Linked DNA regions of Callithrix jacchus. The protein of the gene in region 6 interacts with the protein of the main gene of each other region in a pairwise test. Links are inferred from orthologs where the notes say so. Each region holds a gene or a part of one and is shown on either strand. Other genes may lie near its edges.

Evidence for each region.
Region 1: the proteins of phospholipid scramblase 1 (region 6) and CRY1 interact in a two-hybrid assay, tested with the Homo sapiens proteins (2 studies listed by BioGRID and IntAct). The link is inferred for Callithrix jacchus from reciprocal best matches to the Homo sapiens genes PLSCR1 and CRY1.
Region 2: the proteins of phospholipid scramblase 1 (region 6) and RGS3 interact in binary tests that used the Homo sapiens proteins (3 or more experiments, as listed by UniProt). The two-hybrid records come from large-scale screens. The link is inferred for Callithrix jacchus from reciprocal best matches to the Homo sapiens genes PLSCR1 and RGS3.
Region 3: the proteins of phospholipid scramblase 1 (region 6) and CCER1 interact in a two-hybrid assay, tested with the Homo sapiens proteins (2 studies listed by BioGRID and IntAct). The two-hybrid records come from large-scale screens. The link is inferred for Callithrix jacchus from reciprocal best matches to the Homo sapiens genes PLSCR1 and CCER1.
Region 4: the proteins of phospholipid scramblase 1 (region 6) and ESR2 interact in binary tests that used the Homo sapiens proteins (3 or more experiments, as listed by UniProt). The link is inferred for Callithrix jacchus from reciprocal best matches to the Homo sapiens genes PLSCR1 and ESR2.
Region 5: the proteins of phospholipid scramblase 1 (region 6) and SLC35A2 interact in a two-hybrid assay, tested with the Homo sapiens proteins (2 studies listed by BioGRID and IntAct). The two-hybrid records come from large-scale screens. The link is inferred for Callithrix jacchus from reciprocal best matches to the Homo sapiens genes PLSCR1 and SLC35A2.
Region 7: the proteins of phospholipid scramblase 1 (region 6) and MVP interact in a two-hybrid assay, tested with the Homo sapiens proteins (2 studies listed by BioGRID and IntAct). The link is inferred for Callithrix jacchus from reciprocal best matches to the Homo sapiens genes PLSCR1 and MVP.

Annotation. Positions count from the first base shown.
Region 1 is NC_133510.1:109,859,856-109,863,355, forward strand, and holds part of CRY1 (cryptochrome-1), read right to left. Parts: intron 2,109-3,500; coding exon 1,924-2,108; intron 1,512-1,923; coding exon 1,423-1,511; intron 1-1,422.
Region 2 is NC_133502.1:161,766,176-161,770,180, reverse strand, and holds the start of RGS3 (regulator of G-protein signaling 3), read right to left. Parts: upstream 2,801-4,005; 5' UTR 2,786-2,800; coding exon 2,683-2,785; intron 1,188-2,682; exon of another isoform or gene 1,085-1,187; coding exon of another isoform or gene 1,006-1,084; intron 1-1,005. UniProt on the Homo sapiens protein: Down-regulates signaling from heterotrimeric G-proteins by increasing the GTPase activity of the alpha subunits, thereby driving them into their inactive GDP-bound form.
Region 3 is NC_133510.1:90,189,116-90,192,524, reverse strand, and holds CCER1 (coiled-coil domain-containing glutamate-rich protein 1), read right to left. Parts: upstream 2,243-3,409; 5' UTR 2,190-2,242; intron 2,061-2,189; 5' UTR 1,823-2,060; coding exon 647-1,822; 3' UTR 501-646; downstream 1-500. UniProt on the Homo sapiens protein: Regulator of histone epigenetic modifications and chromatin compaction into the sperm head, required for histone-to-protamine (HTP) transition.
Region 4 is NC_133509.1:98,924,358-98,927,857, forward strand, and holds part of ESR2 (estrogen receptor beta), read right to left. Parts: intron 567-3,500; coding exon 267-566; intron 1-266.
Region 5 is NC_133524.1:49,472,968-49,476,954, reverse strand, and holds the start of SLC35A2 (UDP-galactose translocator), read left to right. Parts: upstream 1-1,187; 5' UTR 1,188-1,197; coding exon 1,198-1,288; intron 1,289-2,826; coding exon 2,827-3,009; intron 3,010-3,987. UniProt on the Homo sapiens protein: Transports uridine diphosphate galactose (UDP-galactose) from the cytosol into the Golgi apparatus, functioning as an antiporter that exchanges UDP-galactose for UMP.
Region 6 is NC_133518.1:38,674,083-38,676,679, reverse strand, and holds the end of phospholipid scramblase 1, read right to left. Parts: intron 2,302-2,597; exon of another isoform or gene 2,200-2,301; intron 1,954-2,199; coding exon 1,792-1,953; intron 890-1,791; coding exon 833-889; 3' UTR 501-832; downstream 1-500. UniProt on the Homo sapiens protein: Catalyzes calcium-induced ATP-independent rapid bidirectional and non-specific movement of phospholipids (lipid scrambling or lipid flip-flop) between the inner and outer leaflet of the plasma membrane resulting in collapse of the phospholipid asymmetry which leads to phosphatidylserine externalization on the cell surface.
Region 7 is NC_133513.1:29,674,046-29,677,545, reverse strand, and holds part of MVP (major vault protein), read left to right. Parts: intron 1-681; coding exon 682-918; intron 919-3,500. UniProt on the Homo sapiens protein: Required for normal vault structure. Vaults are multi-subunit structures that may act as scaffolds for proteins involved in signal transduction. Vaults may also play a role in nucleo-cytoplasmic transport.

The DNA.
Region 1 (3,500 bases), on a different chromosome or scaffold from region 6:
CAGGTGGAAGATTCTCCTACCTCAATCTCCTGAGTAGCTGGGACTATAGGCAGACATAACCATGCCCAGCTAATTTTTGTATTTTTAGTAGGAATGGGATTTCAACATGTTGGCCAGGCTGGTCTCAAACTTCTGACCTCAAGTGATCCACCCACCTTGGCCTTCCAAAGTGCTGGGATTATAGGCATGAGCCACCATGCCTGGAAAATGTATTTATTTATTTTGAGATGGAGTCTCACTCCATCACCCAGGCTGGAGTACTGTGGTGTGATCTTGGCTTACTACAACTCTGCCTCCTGGGTTCAAATAATTCTCATGCCTCAGCCTCCCAAGTAGCTGGAATTACAGGCACACACCACCACACCTGGCTAATTTTTGTATTTTTAATAAAGTGGGGGTTTTGGGCTGGGCGCGGTGGCTCAAGCCTGTAATCCCAGCACTTTGGGAGGCTGAGGTGGGTGGATCACGAGGTCAAGAGATCGAGATCATCCTGGCCCTAAAAATATAAAAAAATGAGCTGGGCATGGTGGCGCGTGCCTGTAATCCCAGCTACTCAGGAGGCTGAGGCAGGAGAATTGCCTGAACCCGGGAGGTGGAGGTTGCGATGAGCCAAGATCGTGCCATTGCACTCCAGACTGGGTAATAAGAGTGAAACTCCGTCTCAAAAAAAAAAAAAAAAAAAAAAATGGGGGTTTTGCCATGTTCGCCAAGCTGGTCTCTAACTTTTGACCTCAAGTGATTCACCTGCCTCAGCCTCTCAAAGTGCTGGGATCACAGGTGTGAGCCTCCATGCCTGGCCTTCAACCTGCCTCTTTAACACAAAGGTAAAGGTGAAATAGAATTCTATCCTAGTTTCAAAGTTATGGTCGTTAGATACCAGCTTAGGCAGAAAGAACAGAAGAGGTAGTGTGGTAGTAGCTAAAGGGGAAATAATTAGAAGAGAAGGAGAAAGAACATTTAAGTGAGGAGATGGTAGTTAATTTTCTTTTTTTTTTTTTTTTTGAGATGGTGTTTTGCTCTTGTTACCCAGGCTGGAGTGCAATGGTGCAATCTTGGCTCACTGCAATCTCCACCTCCTGGGTTCAGGCAATTCTCCTGCCTCAGCCTCCCAAGTAGCTGGGATTACAGGCATGTGCCACCATGCCGAGCTAATTTTTTGTATTTCTAGTACAGATAGGGTTTCACCATGTTGACCAGGATGGTCTCGATCTCTTGACCTCGTGATCCACCCACCTCGGCCTCCCAAAGTGCTGGGATTACAGGGGTAGTTAATTTTCAAACAATTAGGTTTATTCTATTTTAACCATTTCCCTTAATGCTCCCCCTTCAACAGTCTATTTGTTATTTTTAAAAGAGAGAAAAATTATTTTTAAATGGCAGTTTGGAAATATGAGCATAGCTATATAATCTATATTGTCATACTTTTCTTTCCAAATGCCTTTCCAAACGAGTAAGTGCTTCAGTTTCTCCACCTGGCCACACTGCAGAGGATAAGCCATCTGTATCAAACCCTAAAAGAAAGAAAAGAAAAAAATATCATTCTTCTGAAACTCAAATAATTTTTATTTAACCCCAATAACTGGGAGAATAAATTACTTTGCAGAAAAATTGAGAGAGTACCATAAAAAGGAACTGAGGGCCTAAAAAAGCCCTCACCTAAAGAGGATATGACATAGTTTGACATGGTTTCAATTTTTTAGGATGTACATCTTAAGGTGATAACAACAGATTACATATCTATAGAACACATAAATGATGAACAAACATATCACTTCTTAAAGAGTTCTTTCTTTCTTCTTCCCCCACCCTTTCTTTCTCTCCTAATGCAAAATACTTTACATGGCGAAATTGAAAGGGAATTTTTCTGAGTTATTTATGATTTATTAACTTTTAAGACTCACACTGATTATAGTTTATACTCACCTAGCTCCTCCAGTGAAGGGACTCCATATTTCTCATCATGGTCATCAGACAGAGGAGTTGTGCACTTTTCTATCACTTCTGAAGTAATTGTCTCTACTGGTATCTCTAGTGGTTCCATTTTGCTGATGAGAGTCTGGAATCTTTTATAAGTTAGAGGCGGTTGTCCACCATTGAGTTCTATGATCCTATAACAACAGTTAGTAAAATGTAGGTTAGTATAAAAGAGGGCAATAAGTTTTGGTTAATAAGCTCCCAAAAGGCTTAAAAAGCAGAAAATAAAATTAATCACTGAAATCTTCAAGGAGAATGTTAGCTTGTTATAGTGACGAAGAAATGTGTTCAAAATGATTAATGAGTTTAAAAATCATTCCCTTTAGCTTCTAGATACTCTAGGTATCAAATATATACACACTATGCAAGTATCAAAACCTTTAAGACAAAGAATATTAAGGACTTATGAGAAAAAAAACCAAGTAAGTAAGTAAATCAGTCTAAAGGCAATAACAAAAAGTTAAAACACACAGACATATGCAAAACACGTTATGGCCCAGCTCAAAGAATCTCTCAATCACCAATAAAAACTAAACCAGGTTGACAATTATATGAAAGAGTAAATCAGCAGGTGTCATTTAGAAAAAATAAATTTAATTGTGTATATTTGAGCTTTACAACACGTTATGGTATGCAAGTAGACAGTAAAATGGTTACTATAGTGAAGCAGATTAACGTATTTATAAATCTCATATAGTTACTTTTTTGTATGTGTGTGACAAAATCAGCTAAAATCTACTTGATAAAAATTCCAAATAAAATACAATTTTAATAACTAAAACCCTCACTCTGCACACTAGACCTCTAGACTTGTTCATCTTATATAACTTCTACTTTGTATCTTTGGATCTACATTCCTGATATGGTTTGGCTGTGACCCTACCAAAGTCTCATCTTGAATTGTAACTCCCACAATTCCTACATATTATGGGAGGTAACTGAATCATGGGGGCAGGTCTTTCCCATGCTGGTCTCATTATAGTGAGTAAGTCTCACAAGATCTGATGGTTTTAAAAGGGGGAGTTTTACTGCACAGCTCCCTCCTTGCCTGCTGCCATCCATGTAAGATGTGACTGGCTCCTCCTTGCCTTCCACCATGATTGTCAGGCCTTCCCAGCCATGTAGAACTGTAAGTCCATTAAACCTCTTTCTTTTGTAAATTGCCCAGTCTTAGGTATGTTTTTATCAGCAGCCTGAAAACAGACTAATACAATTCCCCTATTTCCTTCAGCAAATTTTATTAATTTGGATTCTATATTACTATAAAAGTAAATTACAATTACTTTCTATTTACCATTGTACTCATGCCTTCATTAGAGATGTCAGCATATGTATCTATGACACATACTTAGAACACATAAGCCCCCAAATTTCAAGTTATTTAAATTTACCTTTTCATTTACTTCTGATCACTAATTACCTCAATCAAGTCTTAATTAAAAAAAAAAAAACAACTAGCTTTGCCAATGGTAGTTTAGATTAAGTTTAAACACTATTTTGGAATAACTACTCTTTTTCACTATGGC
Region 2 (4,005 bases), on a different chromosome or scaffold from region 6:
TGGACAAGAGTAAGCCTGAAAGCAGAAGAGCCAGGAACCCCAGGGAGGGACCAACTCCTTGGGCACTCTGTCTCTGAAAGCTGGGCAAAGTCCAGTTATGTTGCAGTAATAGCCCCAACATTTAGAAGGAAATTGTATGCAAGTTCAAACAAAAATGTGCTGGACAGGTCATCTCTGGAAGGCTTGAGTTTAGATACCAACTCTGCCACTGGCTCATGGAAGATCTCTTGGTTTCCAGTCTTCACAGAGGAAAAATAACCCCTCTCCACAGAGGGTTACAGGACCAGTGAGAAAATGAAGGGCTACACTCTAGGGAAGCCTTGTTACCTTTACTATGGCTACCGGGAAGGCCAGGTTTGCCCACGCTGTTGGGCAGCTGCTGCCCACCTGTTACTTGAGGGAACTCAGTCTGCTACCTCCGGGCTTGGGAGTGAGGCCTACTGTTTATTTCTTTCCACCTCAAGCCCTGAGGAAGCCCTAGGACCCTCCTAAGGGATTGTTCTGTCTTGGAGGAGAGAATTCTCCCATCTCCACTGTGGCTGTAATACCCAACGAAGTCAGATTTCAGCCTCCAAGGTGAGCCCGCAAAGCAGCAGGGCCAAAGGACCCAGCACCTGTCTGCTCCCTGAGCCAAAGGAAAGTGGGTGAATGAGATCTCCAGTTGCAATAACAAGACCTTGATTTAACCTGAGCTGCTTGCTAATGAGAAACTCGGTGGTGACAACCCGGTCTCGGAAAGATTAACGAGAGTGTGATTATTCCAGCCAAGTGAGGCAGAACCAACTGCAGTTGGCACCCATGGCTGGGCAGCAGGTGGTGTTCAGCAAGTTGCTTGTCCTGAGCCTGTGCCCTGAGCAGAGTCTCAGGACAAAGGGGTTAGAGACGGTGCCCTCATATGGGAAGAGCACCTTCTCCCAGCCTCATCTGTCACCACGAGGGGCTGCGTTTCTGGGCGCTGCGAGCAGGGTGAAGCAGCCCCTGCCGCCAGCCCCAGCGGGCACTTACCAAAGGTGGTGAGGTAGAAAGACAAGTCCGGGCGGGCACGCCGGCTCCCGAGGGAGACGCGGTGCAGTGAGCGCTCCATGGCGTCCCGCTGCGACCCGGACAGCAGCGCCTGCGACCCGAGGCGGCTGTGTTGCTTCCCAGTAACCGAGGCAGCAGGCTCACCGCCCCCGGCGGAGGCGTCTGCAGGGCGGGAGAAGCGCGAGCGGGAGGCCTGGCTGCACTGCGCGTTGGAACGGCCCGGGCGCGCCCGGCTCTGATTGGCTCGCGCGGGTTTGAATGAAGAGAGGTCCACCTGCCGGAGCAGCGCCAGTCCGGGGTGGGGGAGGCGGCGCCGGAGACCCGCGCAGAGCGCGAGGGCAGCCACCCAAGTAGCCGGCGGAACGGCGCGGCCACCCAGGGGCTCCAGGCTCCAGCACCGCGCTCCTAGTTGGAAGGGCCAACCCCACAAGTTCAGTCCGGGGTGCCCACAATGGGCAGGCTTGGCCTCCTCGCCCAGCTCTCCTAGACCAGCAATTAGTCGGGTTTATAACCTGCTTTGAAGCTCAGACCTATAATCATTAGATCCAAGCAAGAGCAAAGGAGCATTCGATGGCCCAGGGCAGTGGGGTTTGGAAAAGTGCTCTCTGCGCTTGGACAGGTCGCCCCCAATCAGGCTGCATCCCCCTCCCAAACCCTGCGTCCTAAAACACTCTTTTGAGCCTCCTCTTGAATGACACAGGTCCAGATGGGAGCAGCTTGCTCCAACCACCCCGCTGGCCCCCCCATCCCACAGCCTGGTGCCACTGGACAGCAGGACAGGCCCACAACCTCTGAGAAAGAGGAACGCACAGGAAACGGTGGGGGTGGGTGAATCTCCCAGCCTGGTGCAGGGAGGCAGAGCTGGAAGGTCAACCCCTGCGCTGCTTTGTCGGCAAACATTTACAGGACACCTCCTGGGAGCAGTTTCACACCAAGGCATCTGCTCTGCAAATCTCTGACTGTTGCCACTGTGGGAAGGAAAGCTGTTAGTCTCATGTAAATCTAAAACTGGGAAGTGTTGGTATTTGTCCCTGTTCCCCAGACTTCATTGCCAAGTGGATATTTGTGGTTCAGTGATCCACTCAAAAACAAGATGGGGAGATGCAAGAGAGAAAGCCGGGAGAAGAGTTATGTGTTGAGTACCAGATGCCGGAGGCTGAACTGGGCAATTTATATACATCATCTCAGTTAATCTTCAGAGTAAGTCTAATAAGTATTAGCCCAATTACCAGAGAGAAATCTGAATCTCTGGCAGAGAAGACAGATGACATGTCCAAGGTTTGTAGAGCTAGGAAAGGAGCTGAAATTTGAACCCAGGCCTGTCTGCCCCAAACACTATTGTCCTATTCTTCCTTGGCCTACACATCTGTCCTGTGGCCAACAGCAGGTGAAGGGAGCAGACACCACAGGGTCAGGTAGCCACCAGCGAGGAGCAGAAACTGGAGGAGCCTGGAATCAGCAAACTGGTGGTCCAATACAAATAAGTCACATAAATGCCAGAGGATTGCTTGAATCCTGGCACTTCGTGAAGTCCTGCCCTGTTCTTTACTGCCCTACCCCCTGCTCCCCTACCCTCCTTACACACATACCCAATGAACACTGCCTTTAACAAGGGAAGGCCCATTCTCGTAGCCTCAAGCCAATGGCAGACGGACTTACCTGCACCCTGGACTTGGGCACACCTGATCCTCCTCCTGGCTGGAGAAGTTTGAGTCCATGCATCTCTTCTGGGAAGAGAGATATCAGGGCTTAGCCACTCCATCCAGCCAGGGAATATGGGCAACCTCAGGCTGAAGCCACAGGATGTAGACAGGACACTGAACCCAGAGACATGCAGGAACAGGATGGGAGCATGAGTTTTGCATGGCCTGAAGATGCCCCATGCAACGGATGTTCACTCCCAGGAGGAACTAGAAAGCATGGTGTTCAGGAAGCAGAGCAAAGGAAGGCCCACAGGGAAAGGGAAGGTGATGTGCCCAAGATGACAGTCACCTCTTCACAGCTTTGCCAGAGATCACTGTAGAGCCTCCTCCCAATGAGGAGACTACCTTGGACTCAGGAGGCCATGAGCAACCTGGAGGTGAAACACTCAGAAGGGTGAGATCCAGGAGAACTGGGCAGAAGTGTGCTATCTTAAAGTGACCTAGGAGAGAAAAGACCGAGACCCACACTGGGCACTTACACCTAATAATGGGAACAAAGATCCCACTGCTTTGTAGAGGGATCTCCTCCTGACTCCTGCTCCACTCAGCAGCTAACCTATTCAGTTTGAAGATTCAAAGGCCAGCCTGATCCTGATCTGGTGGTACTACCTTCACGACCACCAGTAAGGCTCCTTTACTTAGTGGCATGCTGGAAGCTTCCTTTTCCTAAAAGGACAGATCGGTCACCCTTTTCTCGAGAGATGGAGGAGAGAAGTGAGTGGGAGACTGGGCAGGGCACTTCAGGAGAGACTGGCCCTATTAACCCACACTGCTGTCCACAAGCAACATCCAGAAAGGGTCATGGTCATGGCTCTGCTTTCCCCAAGAAGGCAGGGGAGTTTGACCAAGCCTGGCTTTCTCACATGTCCTGAGCATTCTAGCACTCCCAGGGCCTTAGTATCTCTCTTCCACCTCACACATGTCCATACACACTCCACACATACATCAACATACCACACATCATCCATTCTGTGCACATACATACACATACCTTAACATATCCCATGTACACACACAGTCACATCATAGGCACATATACACACACATAAACACACTACATACACACCTCAGATACATATACAAACACACCCCACACATTATAGATGCATCCTATGCATATATGTAAGCACACATCGCACAGACACATGCACACAAAACATACATTACATAGATGCCACATTCATGTACACAGATTGATTATAAGCACTTTTAGCATAATACAGTATCAAACAATGATTTTAGGCATTTTTTGAAAGACCGACTATATCTGGAAGAATAA
Region 3 (3,409 bases), on a different chromosome or scaffold from region 6:
CAGTTCCACAGAAGCAACTTCATGTTCTTCTGAGGAAGATCCATAGCACTGTGGAACAAGGAATATAAATGAGCGATGCCACAAGAGACTGCAAATGGGGTTAAGAAAATACAGCCCTCAAAAATGAACTCTGAAGGTGGAAAAATCTATGAGGAAAAATATTGTTGAAAAAATGCAGGAATTTAAAATGGCTTCAGTTTTGTTAAGAGCACTGGTGAACATTCAGTAGCCTTAGAATGTTCTTCTTAAGCATGTAACATATTATTTCTTAATTCCAAGATCAGCAGTGGCTAAGTTGTATAAATTTGTTGCAAAAACAAAGCATTTTTTTTCAGCATTATCAGATTTAAAAAACAATCCAATTTTCTAGAGGGGAAGATATCAAATGAAAATATTCAAATGTAAGTAATAAAATATTTGGCCTTTAACCAGTTCCAGTAAATTTATATTTGAAAGCTCCCTCCCCCCACCACCCATAGTCATACACAACCACATCAAATTTTAAACATTTTTTAATGGCCAAAGAAGGTGTTTACATAGATCTGTTTATTAATGGAACTCACTTTTTAATCAGTTTTTAATAAATTGCTAATCTAGTTTAGCCTCAAATCAGTTCCATCCTTTTCCTCAATCCCTTTTCTGATGTCTAACAGTTAAAGTCCTGTGCCAGGAACAGGGATTCCTGTGGTATGTTGGGAATTATCTGCTCTGGGTTTAAAAAAGTACAGTTTATAAAGTTCTCTCTCGTTTCTTCAGCCCCTACAAAGAGTGATAAAGGCATTTCCAGAGGCAGGTGAAATTCTTCCCCTCCCTGCCTGTTCTCCTCCAGGCCCTCCTCTTCCTCTTCCAGCTCCTCCTCTTCCTCCTCCTCCCCTTCCTCCACATATTCAGCCTCTTCAACCTCTTCCTCTTCATCATCTTCGACCTCTTCTTCCTCCTCCTCGCTCTCTTCCTTTACATCACACACCTCCTGGTCATACTCATCATTTTTCTCCTCCTCCTCCTCTTCCTTCACCAGCATAGGGGCAGGAGACTGGTTTTCCTCTGGGGTAGGACTGAATGCTAGAGGATTCTGTACAAGGTCATACAAAGTTTCCTGCAGCGCCCAGGTTTCCTCGCTGCCGCCAGGGGGCGCGTTGTTTCCGGAGGATCCTGCTGGGAAGGCCTCGCCGCCCACCACGGCCTGCTGCACCCTCTTCGCCTCCTGCTGACGCTCCAGCTCCTTCTGCTGCCTCATGTCCTCATAGATCTGGTCCATGATGAACTGGGTGGTGTTGCGCGGCGCTCGCAAGCCAGGCGCTCTCCACTCGTACGGGCTGGCCGGCCGCAGCGGCATGCTCAGATCCCCCGGCGGGCTCCGCGAGGAGGAGCGGCGAGGGTGGTGGCGCGGGCCGCGACCTCTGCGGCCCCTGCGGCCCCAGCGCTTCTTCTTGCCTGGGGACCTCGTCCAGCCAGGGTTCCAGGATCCGCTCCAGCAGGAGCAGCAGCAAAAGCAGAGCGGGTGCAGGCCGTACACACTAATCACTTGCACTCGGCCGGGGGGCCTCCAGAATACTGGAGGGGGTGGGCGCCAGGGCCCTCCCCAGCACCCCCAGTTAGAGCACACGGGTGATTGGAACCAAAACCCCGGGCTGTGCTGTTGCTTTGGCTGTTTCCTTGGGGGCCCATACTCGGTCTTGGGGCCATAGCGGTGCCATCTATTGTACACGGTAGCGCCCCGGCGCCTTCGGTAGCAGGACGACCAGGAGTGCAGGGAGGACGAGTGTGCTCCACCGCCACCCAGGTTCACAGGGTCTTCTTTCATGTTGAAGGTCTCCGTCATGGTTCAGGGAGCTCTGAGAGGTCTGGATGGCAGCGACCCAGAAGCTGTCAAGTTTGGCCAAACGGGACGGTGGGAAGAGCCTCGTCTGTTTCTTCACGCAGCGCCACGTGTCTGCCCCTGGGATCACGTTTTACTCTCCAGGAGGCCGCTGTCTTCCTGGTTTGCTCGCTCTTCGGTCGTAATCTCTTGTCCTTCGCACCCGGGTTGTCTCGCCCAGGTATGCTGGGTGAGACAGGGGCTGGGTAAGGATGGTGGGGGAGGAAGGTGTTGGCAGGCGACACGCAGTGAGACCCACTCCCGGGTCCCCCCACACCCGGCTCGGCTGAGGCGCCGGCGGGGGCCAGGGAGGCAGGGGTTGTGCGGTTACCTTACTGCTCCCTCTCAACCCAGGTGCTTCACTGTCACCGTCCTGGCGGGACTGGTGTGGCGCAGGTAGCAGCAGCCTTTATATACCCGCCGTGGCCTCCCGCGTCCCCACCAAGACAACAGCCAGGGCAACAGCCAATTGGGGTCGAAATCGTCCTCCCTGTGTAAGACCGGGTTCTAGCCAGAACCAGGCTCCAGGCGAACATTCGCAGGGGGCTTATGACGCAGTGTTTGAGGGAGGCGAAGCGGGTGTCCAGGCTGAGTTTGGGCTGCTCAATCAAGCAAGGCTGGAGGGAGTTTAGCTGAACGCGTTGTATCGCCTTGAGTCAGGGGTTTAGAAGATGGGCCTTCAGCTGAACCGGGTGGGGACGGGAGAACTTGAGTATTGGAAACCCCACATTCTACACCATTGGATGGCCTAAGGGATAAAGGAAAATTACTGAAGAAAGAAAACTTGGCCCATTCTCTTAACCTTCTGGCCGGTGCCAACTCTTCTTACTCTTGGGAATCAGGATTCATAATAAGTATAACAAGACCACAAACATTTTTATTGCATGTGCTCACTGACAAATAATCCTGTCATCGAGCCTGAGGGACAGGCATATCTTATCACCTGTCACAGATGAGGGAACTGAGAGGTTACTTTCCCCGTGGTTGTGGGGCTAATAAATTTCTGGGCTACTATTTAAGCCTAAACCTGTTTGACCCCAAGTTAGGTTCTTAGTGGCATCGCTATATGCTCTCCCAAACCACCAGTAGGACTTTTGTGATAACTAAATGACATACATTTTGGAAGGTACTTTGCTATTTGTAATATATGCACCTCAATTAAACAAATATCATTATTTCCAGGATGAATACCACAGGTTTGTCCTTGGGAATAGAATATTCCCGTTGTTTTTCCTTTTATCCCTTCACTGACCATACAGCATATACAAGGGAAGCCTTTAAAGCATTGTGGTTAAGCATGTGGATTTTAATTTAAATAAATGTGATTCAACTTCAACTCACCAATTACTAATCTCCTTAAGCCTCAGATTCCTTACCTATACCACAATTATACAGGAACATTTTTCCAAACAGTTGTGTAAAGAATTCAATGCATATAGCATGTCCTCTAATAATGTTTTACTCAATGTCATTTCCTTATAGCGTTGCTGAGGCAAAACAACCAAAAAAAAAAAAAAAAACACATTTTTAAAATGTCTTTCCACTTAAAAG
Region 4 (3,500 bases), on a different chromosome or scaffold from region 6:
GGGTGACAGCTCTTTCTGCACTACCATGTCTGGTACTGAACTTAGAGGAGTCTTAGAATTCTAAATCGGAACATGGCCTTGTTGAAGGTAGGTATGCCAAGATGGGAGCAAAGAACATATTGCACTCAGAAGTTACAAATCCAGCTGTGGAACTGTTAAATATCTAGGCACAGCTCGTGGACCTCTACTTTGTACTCTTGCCCCTTAAATATTAGCAGCAGGCCTTTCTACAAGCACATGGAAAACTAATAGCCAGAAGGCCCTACCGGGAATCTTCTTGGCCCAGCTGATCATGTGTACCAACTCCTCGTCGGCCAGCTTGGTCAGGGACATCATCATGGAGGCCTCAGTGAAGGGCACGCTGGGGCGGCTGATCAGCACATGGGGCGGTTCGGCCTCCAGGAGGGTGAGCACCAGCTGCTCGGGGCTCAGGGCGCTCAGCAGCAGCTCCCGCACTCGGGGCACGTGACCACCACTTCTCTTGGCCTTGCCGGCGCAATGCAGCTGCTCCTCGGCATTTCCCTGTCTCCGCACAAGGCGGTACCCACATCTCTCTCTCCGGGAGCCTGAAGAGGAAAGCAGAGTCATTCGAATTGCCAGGGTAAAACCACAGTCAACTAAAAGAAGCCTGACTCTTCAGCGTGTAGGGCACATATCAAAGATTACTATGGTCTTGACTCTACTAGCAAACCAACAACATAACTTTTCAGCAACTTTTCAGGTCTCCATTTCCAGGTCATCTCTAGATGCTAACTCCATTTCTCTATAAAGAGCGCTCACATACCTGTTTCCAAACCATGAAATTAGGAATTTTCTTCAGGTAGAAAAATGGGGATATTTCTGAAGGTATCAAATAATACACTTTTATTATAACACATTCTTAAAATGTTTATATGCATGTGTGCATATATTTATATTTCTTTTCCATACTTACACAAAACAAGTATATTTCAAAAAACTAAGTGAAAAAAATCTGGAGAATATAAAAGAGAATAAATTTTGGCATAAACTCTTTGAGTCTTTTTTTTTTTTTTTTTTTGAGACGGAGTTTCGCTCTTGTTACCCAGGCTGGAGTGCAATGGCGCGATCTTGGCTCACTGCAACCTCCGCCCCCTGGGTTCAGGCAATTCTCCCGCCTCAGCCTCCTGAGTAGCTGGGATTACAGGCACGCGCCACTGTGCCCAGCTAATTTTTTGTAATTTTTAGTAGAGACGGGGTTTCACCATGTTGACCAGGATGGTCTCGATCTGTTGACCTCGTGATCCACCCGCCTCGGCCTCCCAAAGTGCTGTCTTTCAGTCTTTTTAATGCTTTTATGTTTTTCCATGTTTTATACACAAAATTATTTATTTATTTATTTATTTATTTATGAGCCGGAGTCTCACTGTGTCAACCAGCCTGCAGTTCAGTGCTGCAATCTTGGCTCATGCAACCTCAGTCTCCAGGTTCAAGCAATTTTCCAGCCTCAGCCTCCTGAGTAGCTGGGAATTATAGGTACCTACCACCACACTTGGCTAATTTTTTTTTTTTTTTTTTTTTTTTTTGAGATGGAGTCTCACTCTGTCGCCAGGCGCCAGGCTAGAGTGCAGTGGCACAACCTTGGCTCACTGCAACCTCTGCTTCCCAGATACAAGCAATTCTCCTGCCTGGGCTGCCCAAGTAGCTGGGACTACAGGCACATGCCACCACGCCCAGCTAATTCTTGTATTTACTTAAATAGAGACAGGTTTTCACCACATTGGCCAGGCTGGTCTCAAATTCCTGACCTCAGGTGATCTGCCCATCTCAGTCTTCCAAAGTGCTGGGATTACAGGCATGAGTCACTGCGCCTGGCCTTTACATACAAAACTAGATTGTAGTATATACACAATTTTATTTTCATTGTATTTTTGAGAAAGAGTCTCACTCTGTTGCCCAAGGTGGATATAGTGGTGCAATCATAGCTCACTGCAGCCTCCATCTCCTGGGTTCAAGCAACCCTGCTACCTCAGCCTCCTGAGTAGCTGGCACTCCAGGAACATGCCACCATGCCCAGCTAATTTTAAAATATTTTTGTAGAGATACGGTCTATGTTGCCCAGTGCTCAATAGTTTGACTATTTTCTCAGACCCATTTGGCATTAAAAATCATTTTTAATGTGTGCTAATCTAACAAATGACTAAACCATCTTGCTTTACTTTGTATGTTTTAATTACTAGCAAATTTGATTTATATGCTTATTCTTTGTATTTATTTATTTATTTAGAGACAGGGTCTCTCTGTCCCCCAAGCTGGAGTATGGTGGAATGGTCATGATCACAGCCCGCTGCAACCTCAACCTACCAGGTTCAGGTGATCCTCCTGGGTAGCTGGGACTACAGTGTGCACCGCCACACCTGACTAATTTTTGTATTTTGTGTAGAGACAGGGTCTTGCTATGTTGTCCACACTGGTCTTGAACTCCTAGGCTCAAATGATCCTCTTGCCTTGGTCTCCCAAAGTGCTGGGATTACAGGTAGAAGCCACCACATGCAATCCAATATTTAAAGTTTTTGTGATACAGAAACAAGGTGGAACCAAAATACCTAACAATAACATGTAAGATGAGAGATGAATGACTTTGGTTAGAATTTCTAAAATTCTTTTTTTGGGAAGATAAAAGCTTAAATTCTCATATTAATCAAGAACACATGTTGAAAAATAGAAATGTCACTAAAGGAATTTAAATGTGGCTAAGCATGGTGGCTCACACTTGTAATCCCAGCACTTTAGGAGGCCAAGGGGGGGAGGGATCACTTGAGGCCAGAAGTTCAAGACCAGCCTGAGCAACATGGTGAAACCCTGTCTCTACTAATAATACAAAAATTAGCTGGGCATGGTGGCATACCCCTGCAATCCCAGCTCTTTAGGAGGCTGAGGAAGGAGAATCACTTGAACCCAAAAGGCAGAGGCTGCAGTGTGCTGAGATCGTGCCATTGGACTCCAGCCTGGGTGATATAGCGAGACTCTGTCTCAAAAAAAAAAAAGGGAAATAAAACAGAATGTATGACTTTCAAACTAGTAAAAGAAGAAAAATAAAACAAAAATGTGATTAAATCCTAAAAGGAAAGAAGTAGAAAATACATAAAAATTTTAAAATCACAAAATAAGATAGAAATGAACCCAAATATTAGTTATCACAATAAAGAAAAAATACTAAATTGACCATTTAAGAGTGACTCTGAAATCCTATATATTTTTAAATCTAGACATAGATTAGTCATAAGAGATATACCTCACATACAGAAAAACAAAGTAGACAGAAAAATATATAACAGGCAAAAATTAATCAAATAAATTGATGTTACTCTATTGATATCAGACAAACTTTAAGGCAAAATTTATTATTATAGATTAGGAGACTCATTTCTAGAATATTAATAAAAGATAAATAATTCTAAACTCATATACTTCAAAACAACATAGGCCAGGCACAGTTGGCTCACACCTGCAATCCCAGCAATTTAGGAGGCTGAGGCTGG
Region 5 (3,987 bases), on a different chromosome or scaffold from region 6:
TCCCTGACACTCATGGGGAGGAAAGAAGCCCTTTCCCTGTTGGAGAAGAAAAGCCTATCAGGGTACTGGTGAAGGCAGGGCTGGAGTTGGGTGTTGACTGTAATCTTGTAGCTCTTGTCTACTGATGTGCAGGGTGCAGTCACCGGTTTTACTCTTATCTTTAACCTCTTCCCCCATCTTTACCCTTACATACTACTCATCCTTCCCGTTTCTCCTTAACACTTGACTACCTGGCCTGCCCTATCCCATCTTGATTTCACTTGTTCTACCCTCAGCTGTCCCCTCTTGCTCTGCTTTCATTTTTAAAATTTGAGATGGGATTCAAGCGATTCTCCTGCCTCAGCCTCCCAAGTAGCTGGGTACAGGTGCACACCACTACACCTGGCTAATTATTTTTAGTAGAGATGGGGTTTCACCATAGGCTGGAACTCCCGAACTCAGGCGATCTGCCAGATGGCCTCCCAAAGTGCTGGGATTATAGACGTAAGCCATCGCCCCCGGCCCGGTCTCCTGCCCTGCTTCCAAATGCTAGCTAACCTGTGAGCCTTTCATCTGTCTCCTTTGCCATCCTCAATGGTGACTCACTTGTCACCTGCTCTGCTTTTATCTGCTAGTTCACATGCCTGACTCTCACCTGATGCTTCAGCCTGTATGCCCTCACCCGCTCCGGCCAGGTCAAAGAGTCTTCGTCCCTAGATTCCCGTGTGCTCTCCAGGGCGGGACCTTCCTGGGGAACGGGAAAGCGGAACTTCAGTCCAACCAGGAAGCACCTGGGAGTTTTTGATGCGGAAAGGGCGGTGTCTTCTAGAGAATCTGCCAATAAAAGGCCGAGATGAAAAGGGTGATTGAGCCAATGAGACTAGGAGACAGGATTGCGGGGTGATCTGTAAAGTGCAACGAGCGGACCGGACGCGAACGCCAAGACAAGGCGGATCTAATGACGGGAAAGGGCCAGTGAAGCTGAGTAGGGACGGTGGGTAGGCCGAGCGGGCCATGTACCCTGCATCCCGATCCGACAGAATTTGGAAGTCCTGGGGCTACTCTTACGTTCAGCTTTTAGGAGCGGACAAGGAAAGCCACTACCACCCTGAATATCCTGGCTCTTACCCCACCTTCACTCAGGTGGTCCGGAAGCGGAAGTGACGAACACGGAAGTAGCCTACTGTTGCCGAGGGGACGGGCCGGGCAGATGCCAACATGGCAGCAGTTGGGGCTGGTGGTTCCACCGCAGCGGCCGGGCCAGGGGTGGTTTCCGCGGGTGTATTGGAGCCGGGGACCGCGAGTGCCGGTGAGACAGTCTGCGGCCGAGCAGTGGCGTGGAGGCAGAGGTCACGATTGTTAGGAGTTGGGAATGGTCCTTACTAAAGTGAGAAGGAGCATCCCGTGTGGTCCGACGTGTGTGTGCGCGCGCGCGCGCACCTTGTGAGTGTGTTGGGGGCGGGGAAGAGAACATTGTGAGGTTGATTGTGGGATCCCTCCGCATATGGAGAGTAGAGACCATTGTCAGTGTGGAGGGTATTTCTTTTTGGGGAGGCTAAGGCCACCGAAACCATTCTGAATGTGTGGGGTCCTTCCGTGTGGAAGAGACCATTCTGCGGGTGTGGGAGTTCTTCGTTGAAGGGAGAGACTATTCTGAGGGTGGTGGTTCCTTCCTTATAAAGGGACAGAGACTATTCTGAGGGTAGGTCGACTCCTTCCTTATATGACTAGAGAGGGTCCATTTTGAGGATGGGGATGTCCTTCATTATGTGCAGAGAAGATCGTGCTGGGGGCTCCCTTCCTAATGGAGGTAGAGATCGTTGTACATTCGGGTGGAGGGCTCATCGTTATATGGTGGAGAAAGAACATTCTGAGGGTGCCGGGTCCTTCCTTACAGCAGAGAGAGCTAATTGTGAGTGTGGGTAGAGCAAGGAAAAGTTCATTAGCTAGAGGGTCGGTGTGCGGTGGTGGGAGGATGGTCCCTTTGGAGTGCAGGGAAATATGTCCTCATCTGTTTGAGGGAGCCAGACCATTCTTAGTGGGATAACCATTTCTGATGCAGGATTCAGTCCCTGGGAGCATGGGGAAATCAATTCTTATATTTAGTAGATTATTCCGGGTCAGGAGGAACCAGTTGTCACAGGAGGGAGGGGTTGGAGAGACCATTCTGAGTATGAGGAGGATCATTCCATATGTGATATAGGCCATTCTGAGTGTGAGGGAATCAAATAATTTCTTAGATGGGAGAATGACCAGTCCTTAGGGGGTGAACATACCTCATACAGTGGCGTCATTCCCTGCACTGATTTATTCTTTACATGGGCCAGTCCCTCGTTAAATAGGAGCATCATTTCATATAAATCCTCAGTTTGCTCATCCATAAAATGGGAATCCTTGCAGTTATTTTAGAGATGAGAAAGATATGAGAGTCTCTTGAAGTAATCCATAGAAATCCCTTAACCCAGTGATAGGTACACATGAACAATAAACATGGAGAATGTAATTGTCAGTATTCTGCCTGGGGAAGAGTTGCTTCTCACTTGGGAGGGAGCCAAGGCACACGGCCAGGGTTTACCTCAGCCATTCCTGACACCTCGGTAAGGGTTCCAGGTATAGACTGGACAGGGTGGGGCCCATTTCTCCCTTCTGGCTCTTCCTGCTCATGGCTGAGGTAGTAAGCTGTTAGGAATCAGACTTTCATTGGGTGAGGGCATGCAGGCTAAGGGAGCAAGTAGCGGTGGCTAGGAGGGTCCTGGGTGACAAAGTAGAGGGGGTGGGTGGTGGTGTGGCTGTGCCCCAGTGGCTTCTGACCCCTCCCTTACCCCTTGCTCCTTCCATTCCCCACAGCTCATAGGCGCCTGAAGTACATATCCCTAGCCGTGCTGGTGGTCCAGAATGCCTCCCTCATCCTCAGCATCCGCTACGCCCGCACATTGCCTGGGGACCGCTTCTTTGCCACCACTGCTGTGGTCATGGCAGAAGTGCTCAAAGGTCTCACCTGCCTGCTGCTGCTCTTCGCACAGAAGAGGGGTACGAGCCAGGGAGGGGTACGATCCAGGGAGGGGGCTGCACTGGGGTCAGTGGGTGGGACTCCTTATGTATGTGTGTGTGTTCACACAGAGCGTTTGCTTCAGTTGTCTCCAAATCTGAACCTGCCTGGGGAACCCTTCCAGCTGTGCGTAGCTGCATCTTACACTTTTCTAGCCCTAAAGGTGGGGAGCCGGCCTGTGTGGACTGTAGGAGTGATTGTCTATACTTATAAAGTAGCAGGGGGATGGCACATGTGATTTAGTCATCTTTAGCTTCATATTATGGAGAATTCCAAATGCAAACTTAGAGAGAATAATCAAATAGTAAATATCCATGTACCCATCCCCCAGAGTCAGCAAGCAACTCCTGGCTGCTCATTAATCATCATCAGTGATTGTCCACTCACTGCCAATCTATATGTCTACCTATGTCCTTATCCCATTCTATTTTGAAGTTAATCCCACACAGAGTAATATTGTATGGAAGAAATTCCCCCATATTATCTTGAATAAATGTTTTGGTGCGTTTTTTTTTTTTTTTTTTTTTAAATAAATAATCCCAGCACTTTGGGAGGCCCAGGTGGGCAGATCACCTGAGGTCAAGAGTTCAAGACCAGACTGACCAAAATGGTGAAACCCGTTCTCTACTAAAATTACAAAATGAGCTGGGTGTTGTAGTGCATGCCTGTAATCCCAGCTACCTGGGAGGCTGAGGCAGGAGGATCACTTGAACTCAGGAGGCAGAGGTTGCAGGGAGCCAAAATCTCGACATTTCACTCCAGCCTGGGTGACAGAGCGAGACTCTGTATCAAAAAAATAAATAGCCAGGCACGGTGGCTCATGCCTGTAATCCCAGCACTTTGGGAAGCTGAGGCCGGCAGATCACCTGAGGTCAGGAGTTTGAGACCAGCCTGGCCAACATGATGAAACCCCGTCTCTACTAAAATTACAAAATGAGCTGGGTGTTGTCGTGCATGCC
Region 6 (2,597 bases):
TTGATTATTGGTATAATCTAATAGGTCATTATTTAGGTTTATACTCTGTGAATACATATATGTTATATTTAATTAACATCTGAATAATTTCAATTACCATTTTTTAGGAAGAATAGAGTATAAGAGCTAAACATTCCATGTTTAAATATTAACTTTCAAAAGTTATAATAATACCAGAGTTTTACAGTGAAGGAGTGTTTAAAACCTGTCATTCTTTGGGAGAGAATCATGTTGTTCTTTAATAACAATAATTTAAAAATTGGTAATATCTTGTGAATATGAATAGCGTATTATTTATGGTACAGATTAGCTTCCAGGAGAAGTTAAGTGTAGCATGATTTCCTGAAGATTAAAAAAATAAATACATCTTTTTAAAGATAATATGCGTAATGAATATTATTTGAATATAATAATAAATTATCTGAAATTTTTTGAATATATGGCATTTGTAAAATAACATTATTGGTTAGGCATGAAATAAATTGTAACTAGATGTAATAGAATGAAATATAATTTATATTAAAACTAATAAGGCATTAATTAATATTTGGTAGTAAAACAGAGATCATGATTCAAAGCGGTTTTTCATAGAAAGTTTCATTAACAATTGTAAAAACTCCTATGTCCTTTTTCTCAAATTCACAGTGAGTATTAAAAAATGCATAAAAGCCTTTATAAATCAGTTATACAGAAGATAAACTCAATAACTTGCAAAGCAAAAGTATACAACCAGAGCTACCAGCATTACAGCTTAATTTATATAGGTATGAGTTTAGATAGTCCTGATCAATATACAGACTTCAGATCTTCTAAGGAGACTTTCACTAATCCACTACCACACTCCTGATCTTTGTTCCTGGTTGCCACTGCTTTCAAAAAACATGAAGTCCTAGACAAAAACAAAAATACACAAATGAATTTTCAGCAACAAAACAGAGATCAATTATCAGATGCAGAAATGCTAAGGGATCTAGTGAAACACAGTAACATATCTGTTAAAAAATTAACTGTAATAAGTAAATAGAAGAGAAGAGCTCTATAATTATATAAGTTCCACCTTTAGCTTTCCATTTTAATAATAATAGAATTCTATAATTCTATTTATTTATTGATACTTGTAAGAATTTAATTAATCTTCTGGTCTTTTTCTCTAAGTGTTCTCCATCCCCCTAATTCTCATCTTTGGCTGCATATTAAAATCACCTGGAACACTATACAAACTTTGAAGTTTCTGATTTAGTTGAACTGAGGTATGGACTAGTACTTGGGAGTTTTTAAAGGTCCCTAGGTGATTCTAATGTGAAGACAATTTCAGAAGCACTGGTATAAACAATCATTTCCTGTAATTTGGCAGTTAAGTCTACACACTTGAGTGAATGTATACTCTTACTGTAGTTCATACTCCTATATTAGATAGTTTAGTTTAATTATTATGAGTCATGGTAAAGTTTTCTTGTTTCACTAAATTTTTTCCACACACCCACTTTCAACTCTTCCTCAAAGCATCTAGGAGATGCTTGATTTAAGGAGAGACTAAAATATCTCCTTAGTACATCTCCTTAGTCCCTCACTTGCCATGTGAAAATCCATAGTCTCTTCAGATAGAAACTAGTCACCTGTGACTCCAGAGGGTTAGGATCAAATAGAATTTCAGAGCTAAGATTAAATGGGAATCCTGGTTTAAAATCTACAGATTTTAAAATATAATTTTGAAATATATACTTTACTGAATCACTTCAGAATAAACCTAGAGAAACCATCTATAATCAAGATTAGTAAGAACAGACTTACAATGAGGAAACAGGCACCAAGCATTACAGCTTTCATTTTAACATCAAGGTCTAAAGGGAATTGGATCCCAAAGTTATCAGCGTCTGTAAATGCCTCTCTCAAAATTCCAGTCCAGTGCTTGGAAATTTTGCCAACTATATTTTGTTCATCAAGAGATTTAATCTAAATTGAAAAGAATTATTAAATATTTTTAGAAAACTTATAGCAAAAGTACTTTCAAATTTGAAGATGAAACAAATACGGCATTAAAATTATGGCCCATATGTAACGATGAACATGTAACCCTCATTAGATACTTAGAGGCTCCTTTATCTATTATAGACATATGAAAAAGAAAAGATTTCATTGTACAGAAAAATTATATGAAAGTAGTTTTTCTGAAATATTTAACATTTTCTATTAATACAGACATTAAAAAATTATTTGAATTGACCCAGAAGAAAATTTGAGCAAAAAAGGATATAAATATGAAATGTTTCTTTGATGACAATTCTGGAAGCCATCAGGAAGGTAATGAACAAAACTCCCATTAGATTTCTGCTTTAGAAGAAGCATAGTTTACACAGACTGAAAGATTAAATATGATGAAAAGGCTTATTACCACCCACTGTGAGTTGCCAAACATGAAATGCTAAAAGCCTGGAAAAGATTAGCAGTTTTGAGTAAAGGCAAATACCTAATAAGTAACTTGATGAAATGCACCATGTCAAGGGTTGAGGTAAGAGTGGATAAATAGCAGGGTGTGAGCAATAAAAGACGAAGAGTATATGAACAAATGAGCTCCAAAGTAGAAATTTTCCAATTTT
Region 7 (3,500 bases), on a different chromosome or scaffold from region 6:
TTGGAAGGCTGAGAGGGGAGAATCACTTGAGGCCAGAAGTCTGAGACCAGCCTGGACAACATGGTGAGAACTCACCTCTACAAAAAATTTTAAAACTAGTTGGGTGTAGTGGAGCGTGCCTATAATCCCAGCTACTCCAGAGGCTGAGGCAGGAGAATTGCCTAAACCCGGAAGGCAGAGGTTGCAGTGAGCCGTGGTCATGCCACTGCACTCTAGCCTGGGAGACAGAGCAAGACTCTGTCTCAAAAAAAAAAAAGCTGGCCGGGCGCAGTGGCTGACGCCTATAATCCTAACACACTTGGGGAGGCCAAGGTGGGTGGATCACCTGAAGTCAGGAGTTTGAGACCAGACTGGCTAACATGACAAAACCTTTTCTCTACTAAAAATACAAAAGTTAGCCAGATGTGGTGGTGCGTGCCTGTAATCCCAGCTACTCTGGAGGCTGAGGCAGGAGAATCGCTTGAACCCAGGAGGTGGAGGTTGCAGTGACCCAAGATCGTACCATTGCACTCCTGCCAAGGCAACAAGAATGAAACTCCGACTCAAAACCAAAAAATAAAAAAAAGCCCTTGATTGGTAGAAATTTTCTCTGAGACCTGGGAGCATTTGGTGGCTAATGGGACTCGCAGATCCCCTGAAGTTGGAGGCAGGTCACTCAAATACCCAAATCTTGCTCTGCAGACAGCCCTGCACCTCCGGGCTCGGCGGAACTTCCAGGACTTCAGGGGAGTGTCCCGCCGCACTGGGGAGGAGTGGCTGGTGACAGTGCAGGACACGGAGGCCCACGTGCCAGATGTCCACGAGGAGGTGCTGGGGGTTGTGCCCATCACCACCCTGGGCCCCTGCAACTACTGTGTGATTCTGGACCCCATCGGACAGGATGGCAAGAATCAGCTGGGGCAGAAGCGTGTGGTCAAGGTGAGGACCCGGCCCCCACCCCCCACCACCACACAGAGGATGACCCTGGGAGGTGAATGCCCTCGAGTAGCACGAGACCCTCTGCCCTTTCTCCCTTCTTTCCTTCAGACGCACGTTCTAGGAACACCTTCTGTGTCTTTGCATGCTTAGTTCTCACGCGCCTGGGACACTGGCCCATTTGATTCCTGGCAGTCTCCAACTTACCCTTCAGACCTGAAGTTACTTCCCCTTCTGGGAAGGTCTTCTGGCTGCCCCCCAGCCCAAGACCCTGAAACTCTGATACAGTCGTGTGTCACTTAACAATGGGATGCATTCTGAGAAATGGTCGTTAGATAATTTTGTCTTTGTGCAAATGAGTGCACTTATGTAAACCTAGATGGCACAGCCTACTATACACCTAGGCTAGATGACGTAGCCTGCCCCGAGGCTGCCCACCTGCGCAGCATGTGACTGTCCTGAATACTGCAGGCAGCTGAACACAATGGTAAGTACTTGTGTATGTAACCATAGAAAAGGTACTGTAAAAATACAGTATAAGGCCAGCTGCAGTGGCTCATGCCTGTAATCCCAGCACTTTGGGAGGCTGACGCAGGTGGATCACTTGAGGTCAGGGGTTTCAAACCAGCCTGGCCAACATCGGGAAATCCCGTCTCTACTAAAAATGCGAAAGCGTGCTGGGTGTGGTGGTACACACATGTAATTCCAGTTACTTGGGAGGCTGAGGCACAAGAATTGCTTGAACCCAGGAAGTCGAGCCTGCAGTGAGCCAAGATTGTGCCGTTGGACTCCAGCCTGGGTGACAGAGGGAGACTGTCTCAAAAAAAAAAAAAAAAACAAAAAAACCCCAAAGCTCCATTATAATCTTACGGGACCACCATGTGCAGTCAGTAGTGGCCTGAATTAGCACGTGGTGACTATTTCACATCTTTTATGTTCTGGTATTCGCTTCGCTTTGTCATCTCTTGTAAAACAAAACTCTGTGTGTACCCTCTCCCACCCCATACCGCATCCCCTCTCCGAACTATATGTGGGATTACCAGGAGTTGCCAAACTCATTCTGTAAAGGGGGCTGGATGGTAGATATTCCAGGCTCCATGAGTCATTTCCGTGGAAGTTCTTCCACTCGGCTGTTACGTCCAGAAAGCAGCACGGGCAGTACGTAAACAAGTGAGTACTGCTGCATTCCTGGAATATTTCATTTGCAAAAAACAGGAGGCAGGAAAAGTAGAAATAGGCCGGGGTTAGTGGCTCCCACCTGTAATCCCAGCACTTTGTGTGGCTAAGGTTGGCGGATCACCTGAGGTCAGGAGTTGGAAACCAGCCTGGCCAACATGGCGAAACCCTGTCTCTACTAAAAATACAAAAAAATTATCTGGGTGTGGTATCAGGTGCCTGTAATCCCAGCTACTCTGGAGGCTGAGGCAGGAGAATCACTTGAACCCGGAAGGTAGAGGTTGCAGTGAGCCGAGATTGCACCGCTGCACTCCAGCCTGAGTGACAGAGTGAGACTCTGTCTAAAAAAAAAAAAAAAAAAGAGTAGAAATAACCCAAATGTACACCATTTAACGAATAGATAAAAAATTGTGGCATATCCATACAATGGAATATCATTCAGTCATAAAAAAGAAATGGCAGGCCAGGCACAGCAGCTCATGACTATAATCCCAGCTCTTTGAGAGGCCGAGGCAGAGGATTACTTGAAGCCAGGAGTTAGAGACTAGCCCTGGGTAACATAGCGAGACTCCATTTTTACTTTTTTTTGGAAACAATCTCACTCTGTCACCCAGGCTGGAGTGCAGTGGCGTGATCTGGGCTCACTGCAACCTCCGCTTCCTGGATTCAAGCAATTCTCCTGCCTCAGCCCCACAAGTAGCTGGGATTACAGGTGCCTGCCACCACGCCCAGCTAATTTTTGTGTTTTTAGTAGAGATGGGGTTTCACCATGTTGGCCAGGCTGAGCGAGACCCCACTTTTACAAATATTTTTAAAAACTGGCCAGGCATGGTGGCACACTGGTAGTCTCAGCTACTTGGGAGGCTGAAGTGGGAAAATTACTTAATTCCAGGAAGTGGAGACCATACTGTGCCACTGTACTCCAGCCTGAGGCAACAGAGTGAGATCCTGTCTCTAGGAAAAAGAAAACAACGAAATGACATAATTTTATGTGCTACAACATGGATTAAAATTGATAAACATTATAATAAGTGAAAGAAGCTGGCTGGGCGTGGTGGCTCAAACCTGTAATTCTAACAGTTTGGGAGGTGGAGGCAGGCAGATCACCTCAGGTCAGGAGTTCAGACCAGCCTTGCCAACATGGTGAAACCCCATCTCTACTAAAATACAGAAATTAGCCAGGCATGATGGCGGGTACCTGTAATCCTAGCTACTCAGGAGGCTGAGGTAGAAGAATCGCTTGAACTGGGAGACAGTGGTTGCAGTGAGCCAAGATCGCACCACTGCACTCCAGCCTAGGTGGCTGAGCAAGACTCTGTCTCAAAAAAAAAGAAAAAAGCCAGACATCAAAACCACATGTTGCATGATTCCATTAATATGAAATGTCCAGAATAGGTAAATAAAGAAAA